4 linked regions of the Saccharomyces cerevisiae S288C genome follow. The gene in region 2 interacts genetically with the main gene of each other region. Each region holds a gene or a part of one and is shown on either strand. Other genes may lie near its edges. The genes, in order: FIT2, YOL162W, ECM3 and MGA1.

Region 1 (2,918 bases), 1.0 Mb from region 2:
GGTGCTGCTGATGCCATCACCGCTGGTACTGGTTTGATGGGTGCTGCCCTTGCTGCCGTCATGTTATTGTAAATGATATGTGAATAATCATGCGGGATATCCGATTTTTATGAAGCACCTTGCGGCTTGGCCTTTTTTCGAAGTTATGTTAGAATAAAAAAATTTTAATAACACACATTAAGTATGTATGTATATATACTGTTTCAAGTTCGTTGGTCTTCCTTTAATTGTTTGAAACGGTTAAAAGTATCTAATTAAAATAAATATACCCGAAATCATACTAAAAAAATAGTTAATATTAATAAAAGTAATGATAATAATAATAATAACAATAATAATAATACGATGATGATGATGAAACGAAAAACTGCTACATTGAAGTCACTGAGAAACGTAATGAAAAAAAGTCCTTTTTACTAGCCTTTTGAAGGAGAAAGACAATTATATTAGCTTTTCATAGATAAGTTATAAATATGCTATACACGATAACTAATAGCTTTTTTCTGGTTTGAAACCGAGCTTATAATAGGTAAGAAATCAAACCAAGGGCCAATGCACCGACACTTGCTCCTTGGAATGCAGCAGGAGCAGCACCAGAAGAAGAGGCAGAAGAGGAGGAGGAGGATGAGGAGGATGAGGAGGATGTAGATGATTCGACGGCTTGAGTGACGGTCTTGGTGTAAAGGTTGGTTGATGAACCTGAACCGTTTGTCAAAGTAAGTGTCTTTGTTGTACTCTTTTCAGAGGTGGTATCTGGTCCTTCGGTGACAACCTTTGTGTAAGTAGCATCACTATTACTGACAACGACAGTTCTAGTGGTACTGTAACTAATGATAGGGTCAGCGGTGTCGGTAACGACCTTAGTGTAAACGTTATTACCGTTAGTAGCAGTAATAGTCTTAGTGGTCATTACACTCGACACAGCTGCTGCCGAGACGGCAGTCATAACTGTAGTAGCTCCGAAAATAGTTGAGAATTTCATTATTATTGTTTTGTGATGGCTTTATGATAGACTTTTTTACAAGGACCGTAAAATTCTGCCTGAAGCACGCACACATTCCTGTTTTATACATATATTGCTAGGTAATATAAAATGCTAATTATACTGCACCCAGTTAGATTCGTATACATCTTATCCGAACTCGATTACAAATTATACAAGTGATCCAATTGGGTGAACCTCGAAACAGTTCTCTGTTCAAGGGTCCGCTGCGGGGCGAGGGGGGGTGCATTTGAACTTAGGGTGCATTGTTTTAAATCCTATACAGGATATGAACTTAGTTAGTTCAATGATCGCTTGATAAATTGCACCCTGCTCTTGAGGGTCATTCTAAGTAATGAAATTTTGGGTGTTTTTGTTTGCCGTCCTCGTTCAATTCGCTTCCGCCGTTCTGGAAGCCCCGTTAACTTCCGTTCCCGCATTCCGATCGCTGTAGGGCTTGGCGTCAGTAGCACCCAGATATTTCACTGTAGGAGCTTACTTCACTCATTTCAATTGGTATACAGAAATCTATGAAATGTAGTTAAAGGCATCACTAATCCGCATCCGCGATACCCGCAACATATACGGAATGTCTATGTAAAAATGTCTCCTGTGACTTTCATTAATCGAATCTTTCTATAAAAAAAAAAATGAGCAAATCACAGTACACCCACTACTCGCATCATCAACGTTGAGTCAGTAGCAAAGTCTCCAGTTATGGTGCCCTCTGGTCCAATTGTAGTAAATTCGTTTGCACGGATGAAAAATAGCTCATGAATGTTCTTGTGTATTTGAATACCATTATGTGCGCGGCTCATACGGATTTAAGTGTGATCTTCCCCTCCGTATTCCCTGTCAATAACTCAAAGTTTTCCCATTTCGGTTTGAAGTTCTTCACAAGGGAGTTTCTTGGCGCAAAGGCATGATGATCGCATTTGCCTCAGTATATTTCGTCATTTCGGTACTGAGAAACGAAATTATTTTGCCTGTTGTCTTGCGTTTTGGCAACCCTTAAGAATTCATCTAATATGTTGGTCCTTAAAGATAAGCGCTTTTGCTTGTAAAATTCTGATTTTTTGTCTTGTGATGGTAATGCTACATTGAACATCAATGCGTATCTGATTTTAAAAAAAAAATTAGAAGTGTGTATAAAATGAAGGTATTATCAGTTGAGCAAATATTACATGTGCTCTTCAAAAGTACCTGCTTTTCATTTAGTGACTATCAGGATGATAACGCCGCTCGTCTTATTTTTAACTGTCGTTTTCTGATAAATGTGTTGAAAACGTGCTAAACAACAATTACCTGTTCTCAAGAGCCTTGAGCCTGGATTGAGAGCAAAAAATCTCTCTTTCATTTTATACAGAATTCGGAAAGAAGATGGATATTTCATGAAAATCTGTTGGTAAAAAGTGGATAAAAATTTTGTATTATTAGTATGTTCTTAGTGGTTAGGTGATAACGAAGCGAGAAAAGCAGGGCAAATGGAATAGAATAGCGTGTAGTTGTTAAAATTTTATTTCACTGAGGCTTATATGCTTACTGAGAAATTTTTTTTTTTTACAAAAAACTTCTTTTTATGTTATACCAGCTGTGGATTACCACAACAATTGGAAAGAACATCAATCCAGAAAAAAAATTCAGTTAATTTGGAGGAAGAGAAATTTAAGTCATGGAACAAGAGTGGGAGACAGTTAAAAAATGCTTCCAAAGATTAGTAGATTGAAAAAGTTTGTGAAAGTCGATCAATTGTCTTCATTGCAGCTAGACATAAATTATGTTTCAGGTCAAAACAATTAAATATATACTTGTGATAGGTAAAATAGTGAGGAAATAAATAAGGTAATTGATTACCAACTTTGGTATTCTTCAAAGTATTCGATTGCCTTTGCAGGCTTCTCTAGAACAAGATTTGCCGTTTGATCCCTTACTTCGT
Region 2 (3,046 bases):
TCGAGAATGATATAAGTTATAAAGCTTGTAAAGTGTGGTTCGAGGTGTTATCGTATTTACTACAATTGGAAAAGTACGGATTAATATACAGTGAAACTAATGAATCAGAGTGTTTAAAAAAGGAAGACACAGTAATCTATAATACTTTGGTGGAGCTACAGGTTTCTATTTACAGTCACCTATACTTCCGAAGAGAGCTTTTCGTATATTCTGTTTTCCTAATAACATTTACTATTGTGAATTGAAATTTAAAGTTATCTCAAATTCAAATGAATCTGCCGTTTCGATTTACTTCGATAAAGTTTGCGTTCTTCAAAATGGTAGTTTCAGACCATCTACTTTCCATCACCTGGTTTTCATCGACATTCCAGCTAATAGTGGAAAGATAGATTCACACTAACGGTGGAATACAAACTCATAGTGATTACAACTGTTTCGGGCTTGTGGCGTATATTGTGGCGCGATGTAAGAGAATACTCAGAGGACCCTGCGCCACAAGCTAAGACAAAACAAAGAGAACTTATCTGGCAGCTCGCCGAGTTTCGGTGTTCTTTAGGGTGACGCTCACCGCTTGTCATTGTGAATAGACCACAATTTTCCTCCGATTTCTTCACAATGGCTCTGATGGAAAAGCCATCTGCTGAAGATAATATACTCACCTAGACTATTCAACAGCAATCGGGGTGTCATAGAGTTTTTTATCCATTACACAGATATGTAAATCTTTATTGACACTGCTGATAACCGAAGGCAGCCTGAGCCAATATACTTAGTATATAAACGTACTATTTCAGACACAAATTAATATAGCACTCTCTAAACACTTTGTTTCGTATTTATGTTTGAGTACAAGCCTGAAAAAGCCTCTGTAGAAACTACAGTTACTCAGTTAGAGGAGTCCCTTTCTGATAAACCTCTCTATTCATTGGTGAACATTCCCAATACCGACAACTCTCTGGAAAGCCTGAAAACCCCTTTTTAAATCCTGCTGTGGAAAAGTATTATAGACAGTTGTACGAGTCCACTAAGTATGAATGTCTTGAAAGATTTGATACAACATTTGAATGGACTAAGAAAGAAGAATAAAAAGTAGTGAGAAAGTTAGACTGGCATGTTACTCCCCTTTCATGTTTCCTATTTGTGGCCTTGCAGATTGATCGAGGTAATTTGTCACAAGCGGTCGCCGATAACTTATTGCATGATTTGGGTTTAAATGCTAACAATTATAACGTTGGAAACACCATATTCTACTTGACTTTCTTGTGTGCAGAATTACCCTCACAACTCATTTCGAAGAAACTAGGAGCTGATAGTTGGATTCCTCTGCAAATGATAGCGTGGTCCCTAGTGGCTACGTTGCAATGCAAAATGACAGGGAAGAGTTCTTTCTATACATGTAGAGCACTTATGGGCCTATTTGAAGGTGGTTTTGTGGCTGATTTGGTTCTCTGGATGTCGTACTTCTACAGCTCTTCAGAATTGTCAATAAGACTGTCGTTCTTCTGGGTGACACTATCTCTAACACAAATCATCACTTCAATTGTGGCCTTCGGGGTTTTTCACATGAGAGGGATAGGTGGCATGGCAGGGTGGCAATGGCTTTTTTTGATAGAAAGAATTTTCACTTTAGTCATCGGTATCAGTGCATACTTCTTGATGGTACCCTCCGTAGTTCAAACGAAGAAACCTTGGAGCAAGAAAGGATGGTTCACTGAGAGGGAAGAAAAAATCATCGTAAACAAGATTCTGAGAGATGATCCGACAAAAGGGGATATGAACAATAGGCAAGGTATGTCACTTAAAATGTTATGGCAGGGGATAACAGATTACTATATATAGCCTATCTACTTGATGGGCCTTTTGGCTTATATCCCTACGAACGTTTTGGCCACATACCTGACTTTGGTATTGAGAAGTATCGGTTTCACAACCTTTCAAGCCAACCTGCTAGCTATTCCTAACTTTGTTCTTCATATTCTCCTGCTGTTTGGTTTAACATGGTCGACAGAAAAATGTAATAACAGGCTAGGTTTGAGTCTGTTACAACCGTTGTACACTGTTCCTCTTCTTGCAGTTCTTCGCTTTTGGAAAGGTACAATGTTTAATAAATGGGGAACTTATGCAATTATTACCTTAATATTAGATAATCCGTATATCCATGCAATTTGTGTATCCTTGTGTTCTAGAAACTCCCAATCAGTTAAAACAAGAACAGTATCTACTTGCTTGTACAATATGTTCGTGCAAGCAGGTCTCATCATATCCTCAAACATTTATGCGAAAAGCGATGCCCCACTCTATCGTAAGGGAAATGGAGTTCTTTTTGGTTTGGCACTTTTTATGTTTCCAATATTAATTGGTAGCAAATTGATTTATGTCTATATCAACAAGCAGAGGGATAAGAGGTGGAATGCAATGTCAGAAGAGGAAAAAGACCACTATCTAAGTACTACTAGTGATGCTGGTTCACGTAGACTCGATTTTAGATTCTATCACTGAACTATGTAGAAATATGGATACAATCTCCATGTTATGTATTTTTTAAGTTTGTGAATCATTTTTTTCATTTAATGTTCTATACTATTTTCAATAAGATGGATTAAGGACTTATATTTACCCTATTGCCGTTGGTGTTTATGAACTAATCACTCTTTTTCCTTAATTATATGTTTAGGTGATTGCTTAGGTTTGTTTAGGGTATGATGAGCTTATTCACTATATTGTTGAGTTAAATATTCGAGATTTGAAATTTATAATTTGCTATAAATCTTGGTTTTCTTGGTCGGTTCCACAAAAAACTGTGCCAACCCAAAAATTTTGATATTTTACGTGTCGAAAAATGAGGGTCTCTAAATGAGAGTCTGATACCATGACTTGTAGCTCGCACTGCCCTGATCTGCAATCATGTTCTTAGAAGTGACGCATATTCTATACGGCCCGACGCGACGCGCCAAAAAATGAAAAAAGAAGCAGCGACTCATTTTTATGGAAGGACAAAGTGCTGCGAAGTCATACGCTTCCAATTTCATTGTTGTTTATTGGACAT
Region 3 (4,026 bases), 490 kb from region 2:
GAAGAAGGATAATGTCGACAAGACGTTCGGTATGAAGAACAAGAACCGTTCTACCAAAGTCCAAAAATACATCAAACAAGTGCAATCACAATCCGACCCCAAGAAAGAAGAGATGAGGTTAAAGAAACTCGAAGAAAAAAAGCGCAGAGAAGCCGAAGAAGCTGAACGAAGAGCACTATTCAACCCTGTAGCAGACCAAAGGGTTCGTGCGGGTGTAGATCCCAAGTCCATGGTTTGTGCTCTGTTCAAACTGGGGAATTGTAACAAAGGTGCCAAATGTAAGTTCTCACATGACTTGAACGTCGGTAGAAGAATGGAAAAGAAAGATTTATACCAAGATACAAGAAGTGAAAAGGAAAATGACACAATGGACAACTGGGATGAAGAAAAGCTGAGAAAAGTTATCCTGTCGAAGCACGGTAACCCAAAGACCACCACCGACAAAGTATGCAAATACTTCATCGAGGCCGTGGAAAACGGTAAATACGGTTGGTTTTGGATTTGTCCTAACGGAGGTGACAAATGTATGTACAGACACTCCCTACCAGAGGGCTTTGTGCTGAAAACCAACGAGCAAAAGAGGCTCGAGAGGGAGTCGCTCGAGAAACAGCCAAAAATTACGCTGGAGGAGTTTATCGAAACAGAAAGAGGGAAACTAGACAAATCCAAGCTAACACCAATAACAATTGCCAACTTCGCCCAATGGAAGAAGGACCACGTCATCGCAAAGATTAACGCTGAAAAGAAGTTATCTAGTAAGAGGAAACCTACTGGTAGAGAAATCATTCTTAAGATGAGCGCCGAAAACAAGTCATTTGAGACGGACAACGCCGACATGCCAGACGACGTCACCCAGGGATCCGCATGGGATCTTACTGAATTCACAGATGCCTTGAAGAAGGCTGACCACCAAGACGACGGCGGCATCAAGGACTACGGTGACGGTAGCAACCCCACCTTCGACATCAAAAAAGCCAACTCCGCCACGCTCGCATAGTCTAAAATTCATATAGACTAAACTGTATATATGCCACCGTATATATAATACACGCACACACACCAACACAAAGCATGTCACGTCATGTAGCTGATCACGCAGCACGACCGCGGCCCATGCTTATCTGCCGTCTTTTTGCCCCTTTCGATATCCCACGCCCCACGCCCCCACGTTGTTGAGGTGTTTTTTCACCTCGGATCCGCCCGACAATATCTGGGATTAAAAGTGCTCGAGTTTTGCTCTCTATTTCACAATCGGTGATAGTTGAGCTTCCTTTCACTGCATCTCTTTGCAGCCTCGGGGGATGAGGCTATATACTTAGAGGGCCTGAATATATGTTTGACGCATCCCTCCTTCGTACGCTACCATCTGTTACTCTTGCACCGTTATTATATGCTTGTAATTTTTGTTATATAATAGGCCTTTCATTGTTTTTAATATAGACTTTCATCATAGGGCATCCGGAATTTCTTCTCAGAAGCCTCGCAATTTTTCTTTATATTAGGTTTTTCAGACTTTACATTTGTACAGAAACTGCGTATTGTTGACCATTACCGAGAGGAAGATAAAAAGGCATAGATAGTTAAGTTTAGCATTATAGAACCAACACAAACAAAACAATAGAAGACAAAGAGTAAGTTCAAGACAAGTAGACAATGACACACATCACACTGGGACAAGCCATCTGGGCCTCTGTCAGACCAATCATCAAAATCTATCTGATTATTGGTGTAGGCTTCGGTTTATGCAAGATGAACATCTTAACCGTTCAGGCCACAAGGTCCATCTCTGATATCGTTTTAACAATTCTGCTTCCTTGTTTATCATTCAATAAAATCGTAGCAAATATAGAAGATAACGATATCAAAGATGTCGGCATTATTTGTCTGACGTCTGTTATACTGTTCGCAACTGGCTTGGGGTTTGCCTTTATTGTTCGCAGTGTGCTGCCTGTTCCTAAGAGATGGCGTGGTGGTATACTTGCAGGAGGTATGTTTCCCAATATCAGCGATCTACCCATCGCCTATTTGCAATCCATGGACCAAGGGTTTATATTTACAGAAGCAGAAGGTGAGAAAGGTGTTGCCAACGTTATCATCTTTCTGGCCATGTTTTTGATATGTGTTTTCAATTTAGGTGGTTTCAGACTAATTGAAAACGATTTCCATTACAAAGGTGATGACGATGAAGAAAATACGTTGACCAATGATGATTCTGCCCAACAGCCAACACAACCAATTGAAGGCAATTCTTCTTCTTCATCCAACCAAGATATCCTGAAAGAGCCCAACGAGTCTACCGTTCCTAACAGTTCACAAGCAAGCTACATTTCTGAGAAAAATAAAAAAGAAAAAACTGAACTCTCTGTCCCCAAGCCTACACATACTGCCCCTCCAGCAATAGATGACAGGAGCTCGAACTCATCCGCGGTGGTCTCTATCGATAGCATTACACACTCACTACGCACAAACCATGTGGATGCCCAATCTGTAAGCGAGCTTAACGATCCTACTTACAGAACTAGAAGTCAACCAATAGCATACACTACCGAGTCAAGAACATCACATGTTCATAATAACCGCAGGAATTCCATCACTGGCTCCTTACGTTCCATCGATATGCGTGAACTACCCGCGGAAGGCATGTCGGATTTAATTCGTGAATACTCCAATGTTGATCAATACGGTAGAAGAAGGAAAAGTTCTATCAGCTCCCAAGGAGCACCCTCTGTTTTGCAGGCAGACGGTACTATTTCTCCAAATTTGACTAGAACCTCCACTTTACAAAGAGTCAAAACTTCCAACCTAACAAGAATAATCACCTCAGATGCCACTGTTAGTAAGAAAGATATTGAGACTTCCGGTTCCTCTTTACCAAAATGGCTACAGAAATTTCCCTTAACAAAATTTTTCGTCTTTTTTCTAAAAAATTGTCTAAGGCCTTGTTCCATGGCTGTTATCCTGGCTTTGATTATCGCTTTTATTCCCTGGGTAAAAGCCCTTTTCGTTACGACCAGTAATACACCAAAAATCAAACAAGCCCCAGATAATGCACCTGCTCTAACTTTCATTATGGATTTTACATCTTATGTTGGAGCCGCTTCAGTTCCCTTCGGTTTGATTCTTTTAGGCGCTACTCTTGGTAGATTGAAAATTGGAAAATTATACCCTGGTTTCTGGAAATCCGCAGTGGTATTAGTCTTTCTCAGACAATGTATCATGCCGATCTTTGGTGTCTTGTGGTGTGACCGTCTAGTGAAAGCGGGATGGCTAAATTGGGAAAACGACAAGATGTTATTGTTTGTTACCGCCATTACTTGGAACTTACCAACAATGACCACCTTAATCTACTTCACTGCAAGTTATACCCCTGAGGACGAAACTGAACCCGTTCAAATGGAATGTACCTCTTTCTTTTTGATGCTTCAATATCCTTTGATGGTCGTTAGTTTACCATTTTTGGTGTCTTATTTCATCAAAGTTCAAATGAAATTATAAAGTTCGTTAAGGAAGAAACAAGATCTATTCATGCATTCCCATTCTCATTCTCATAATTTCATTTCATCGTACAACTGAATCAGGGTGTAATTTTATAGTTGTTTGTTGGTCTTTTTTTATCAACGTAGAATTCACTTATTTCAGATTTTATAGAGTTTCATAGTATAAAAATAATAATGAAAACAAAACTTCATGCTTTTTCTTCTGTTTATACAATTTCACTTTTGATTGTTATTCAAAAAAATAACATTTAGTCGCAGCTTCTCAGTGTTACTAATCTTTTTCTTCTTTTTTCGAACATAAGATTTTCTGATGGAACGAAAAAAGGTGATCTTTTAATTATTTGTGAATCATAAATATCCTTTTCATTAATTTTTAAGTGGTATAGCGTATTTACATATAAAACATACATGATTATTTCATGTTTATAATCAAAAATTATAAATAATTATTTAATCTCTAATATAGATTAATTAGAGTCTTTCCACAACTCAGTAGCATCCAATAGTCATGACAAATTTACTGTACTTG
Region 4 (3,667 bases), on a different chromosome or scaffold from region 2:
CGAACTTGCCTAAAAAAGCATAATTTAATTACATTTATTTAACTTTATTGCTCCTTCTTTCAAAAGTCGGAAGCGCGCGAGTAAAAAAAATTACAGAGCGAAGGAGAGGCGAAGGATAGATGGGGAACGAAATTATTGTTTTATTTTTCCTTTTTTGTTGGAATGTTAAGCGGATCCTTGCTAAAAGATCTGCTCTACTTTCTTACATTTGAAATTTTTAAAGTTTTCTCAAAAAAAAAAAAAAAATTGGAGAACAAGCGCAGCCGGAATGAAAAAGGCCATAATTTATGTTAAATTAATCATAAGAAAAATTGATAATAGCAAACATAGCTTGTGATTCTTTTTCTTTCGGTTTGTGAAATAATTGCATTCTTCCCCCTTGTATCTAGTATGCAAAAATATGGAGAATGTTCGTTCTTCCCTACGTTCACTGAATGTTCCTTGGTATCAACAGCGGTAACAGTTTGTTCAGTTGGATGCGATGTGTTCTGTTGAAAATAATTCAGTAAGATGCTGGTTTAGTGGCGACTTCACCTTTCGTGATTATAGGTATACTCTTGGGAATTATGCTGGACGTCAGAGAAGTTAAGGTCGATGATGTATTCGTAGTCTCTTGAAGGGGTAGGGCAGTTGTTTTAACAGATTGCATAGACATCCATTTACTTTCAAGTTGAATGATTTCCTCCTTGGAATTCTGTAATAGGGATAAGCTTGTTCGAAGGTCTTTGTTCATGGCATCATTAGTTAGAGTTTTATTTTCATCTTGCGATGCGCTGTTAATATGTTTTTCTATCAAATCAGTGATTGTTGATAGAGAGTTCTTTAAAGTTTGTATATGGTTATCCAAAGCTTGCCTTTCACTTATATTGCTTTTTTTGGGTAGTGTTACATTATTATTACAAACTCCTAAAGCAGGTGAGTTAGAAGCAGAGTTCGAAAGAGAGTTCATCATTGAGGGAAATGGAGTGGAGTAACTGCTATATGGCGGGACTGTAGGGAGCGGTTGCTGCTGCTGCTGCTGCTGCTGGGCAAAAGCTCCAGGATGATACGGCATTGGGTAATTAACAATTGGCAAGGAAGTTGTTTTCAGATCATCTGTCGAAGATAGTGTTCCTGATTTCTTCATCGGAGGTCCAGATAATGCTTGTGGAGAAAGTACTTGTTGCGGCTGCTGAGGCTGGACTATGCTATCTTGGGTGGAAAATTGATTGGGATAGTCATAAGAATTCATCATCCTCGCCGAGATGCTTTGCCTTCGCATCATGTTCACCGTGGGTTGTTGAGGGGGCAGTGAAGATATTAGGTAAGGTCCACTACTTTGTTGCTGTTGCGGTATACTGATATGTGGAGGACTTTGGGATGTTGAGTAATGGACGGGACTGCCCATAAACATGTTTGATGGTTCTCTTGCAGAAACTGGTCCGGATTGCTGAGAGAGAACATTTAACCTCGAAGCATCAACGTAACTGACAGATATTGGTGACAGTATATTCTTTCTTTTACCATCTTTTCCCACACCAGTGCTCTTTCTTTGGATTTTATTCAAGATACCGGCGTTGGCCTCTTTGAAGAAGAATCCAGATGGGTGGGTAAATTTCCATTCAACAAGTTCTTTAACGTTACCATTGTTGGCAGAAGATTGGTCTGGGGAAGGATGAGATAGTTTATGAAACCCGTACATGTGTAGTTGACGAACAAAACTATTGACATTTCCATGTTTGAAATAACGCTTCAGAACATGTGTACTAAAATTAGGGTCATATGGCTTCAAAAAAAATACCGTGTTATCAGTCGGAGACCAGTATATCCATTTATTTACTTCCGGTTCCAGAAGAATTGCATGAAGTTGGTGGACGAAAGTTTTAGGTTGCATGTGGCCACCGGTTCTCTGAGCTATTGTATTTTATGGCGTGGGTGAAAATTCAATATAGGGGTTACAGCTGCCTAACCTTAAAGCGTGTAAAGGAGATCTAGATCTTCTGCAATGATCAGCTACTACCAATATATATATATTGGAAAAAAAGGTAAGTAACGACGTATCAAGATAAAACCCCAAAGGAAGAAAGATGCAACCGAAAGGAAAGCATGGAAAACTTCGAGCTATTCACTACCTGATTACTTCAACGTTAATGAATACCCTAAACGTGATAAGTTTGTGCTTTTCCTTCGATATGGATATCTACTGCCTTCCATTTTCTGCTCTACGGGTCAACAACTGAAAGATTATTTTTTCGGTTCCTCCTTTTTCTTCTCGAAAAAAAGCTTAAATCTTTCAAAGACAAAAAAGAAAGATTGCACCAAATCAGCGCAGAAGGCAGCAACCAGAGAGACGGGGGCGCAGAGTCAACATCATATACGTAACAAGTTGTTCAGGGCGGATCGCTTCACGTCATACAAAGGCGCGGATATGCACTAATCTGCAAATCTCGCAGTCACCGTAAGCCCAAGCCAAAGCGAACCATCGGTGCTAAATCGGCCCGCCCGACTGAGACGCACAGATTCCTACGCAGGCTCTCCTTGTGCCGCCCACGGAGTATTCCGTTCACCCAAAAAAAAATAAAAAACGAAAGGGGCAGACCAGGGGCAGACCAAAGGAGGGGAATTACCGGCGTGGCTAATATTCCTTATTTTGCTTAGAGCACCTTCCGTTCCGCCGCCGCTGCTTCCTAATCTGGGGCCAGGAAACGTCTGCGGCGGGCCAGATTCATTCTCGAGCCAGGAGAACTGCGTAGCTTGCGATAAAGGGGCGAAATTAACCCTTCCATGCAGCTGGCCCGAAGCAATTTTATATTTCGTGTGCTCGCCAAAAAAAAAAACCCTGCTGCGTCCCTTATTCTATTTCCATGGAAATTTCCGTTAGCGCTGTTTTGCAGGTGGTTCCGAGTCATAGCATTAAGATTAACGCGTTGTAACGGTATCACCGGGTGAGCTATGTTTTTCTTTTAAGTTATGCAACCTTCGCGGAGGCTCGGTTGCTTACGGAACTTTTAAGGTTGAGTTTGCCTTCGGTACCCCTTTCCTTTCTGCTGTCAATTCTTCTAGAAGAACTGGGTTTATGCTTCGGGAGTAAGCTCCAACATACGCTGTAAAGAAGACAGTTGTCATTTATTTATTATTATGTAATGTAATTAAGGTTGTCTGTCGTGATTAACGGAGCCAGTTTCGTATAAAGACGAGTGTAATTAGCAGTTTTCAGGAATCAAGGCGCCAGCTTCGTCGTCGAGAAACCAAGTTACTTTGGTTCCGACCATTTCATTAACCAGCACACTAGGTAGTTCGCTATTTTTTACGATTAACACGTCATGCATGATAGCCTTTTTAGCAGCTCCCCTAACGAGAAAGCACACACTTTTAGCCTCGGCTACTACTGCTAATGTAAAGGTGATCCTGTCCTTGGGTGCCTTGGGCGAATTATTACACCATAAAACCTTGCGGTCCATCTCTTCTACAAGGTAATTAAATTCAACCCCGGGAAACAACGAGCATGTATGTCCATCTTCTCCGCATCCGAGTAAGATTAGGTCGAATGATGCAGGCAGCATGGAAGCGTATTCTTCGGCAATCTTTCTATTGGCCGTTTCACCGCCACCGATTAATGATTCGTTGATAGTGTATACAGTGGGGCCTAAGTTCAATTGGTTGCCCTGATGCACTAGCGGGTCCAAAA

Evidence for each region.
Region 1: mutations in YOL162W (region 2) and FIT2 together harm fitness more than expected from each alone (negative genetic interaction), as found in Saccharomyces cerevisiae (one large-scale study listed by BioGRID).
Region 3: mutations in YOL162W (region 2) and ECM3 together harm fitness more than expected from each alone (negative genetic interaction), as found in Saccharomyces cerevisiae (one large-scale study listed by BioGRID).
Region 4: mutations in YOL162W (region 2) and MGA1 together harm fitness more than expected from each alone (negative genetic interaction), as found in Saccharomyces cerevisiae (one large-scale study listed by BioGRID).

Annotation. Positions count from the first base shown.
Region 1 is NC_001147.6:1,057,595-1,060,512, reverse strand, and holds FIT2 (Fit2p), read right to left. Parts: upstream 983-2,918; coding exon 521-982; downstream 1-520. Other genes in the region: FIT3 (Fit3p), read left to right, coding at 1-72; YOR381W-A (uncharacterized protein), read right to left, coding at 1,923-2,090; FRE3 (ferric-chelate reductase), read right to left, coding at 2,833-2,918. UniProt on the Saccharomyces cerevisiae protein: Involved in the uptake of non-siderophore and siderophore sources of iron. Has a role in the retention of iron in the cell wall and periplasmic space.
Region 2 is NC_001147.6:8,268-11,313, forward strand, and holds YOL162W (uncharacterized protein), read left to right. Parts: upstream 1-1,851; coding exon 1,852-2,499; downstream 2,500-3,046. Other genes in the region: YOL163W (uncharacterized protein), read left to right, coding at 1,330-1,839.
Region 3 is NC_001147.6:493,474-497,499, forward strand, and holds ECM3 (putative ATPase ECM3), read left to right. Parts: upstream 1-1,653; coding exon 1,654-3,495; downstream 3,496-4,026. Other genes in the region: translation machinery-associated protein TMA46, read left to right, coding at 1-997. UniProt on the Saccharomyces cerevisiae protein: May be involved in cell wall organization and biogenesis.
Region 4 is NC_001139.9:986,255-989,921, reverse strand, and holds MGA1 (Mga1p), read right to left. Parts: upstream 1,874-3,667; coding exon 503-1,873; downstream 1-502. Other genes in the region: 6-phosphogluconolactonase SOL4, read right to left, coding at 3,183-3,667.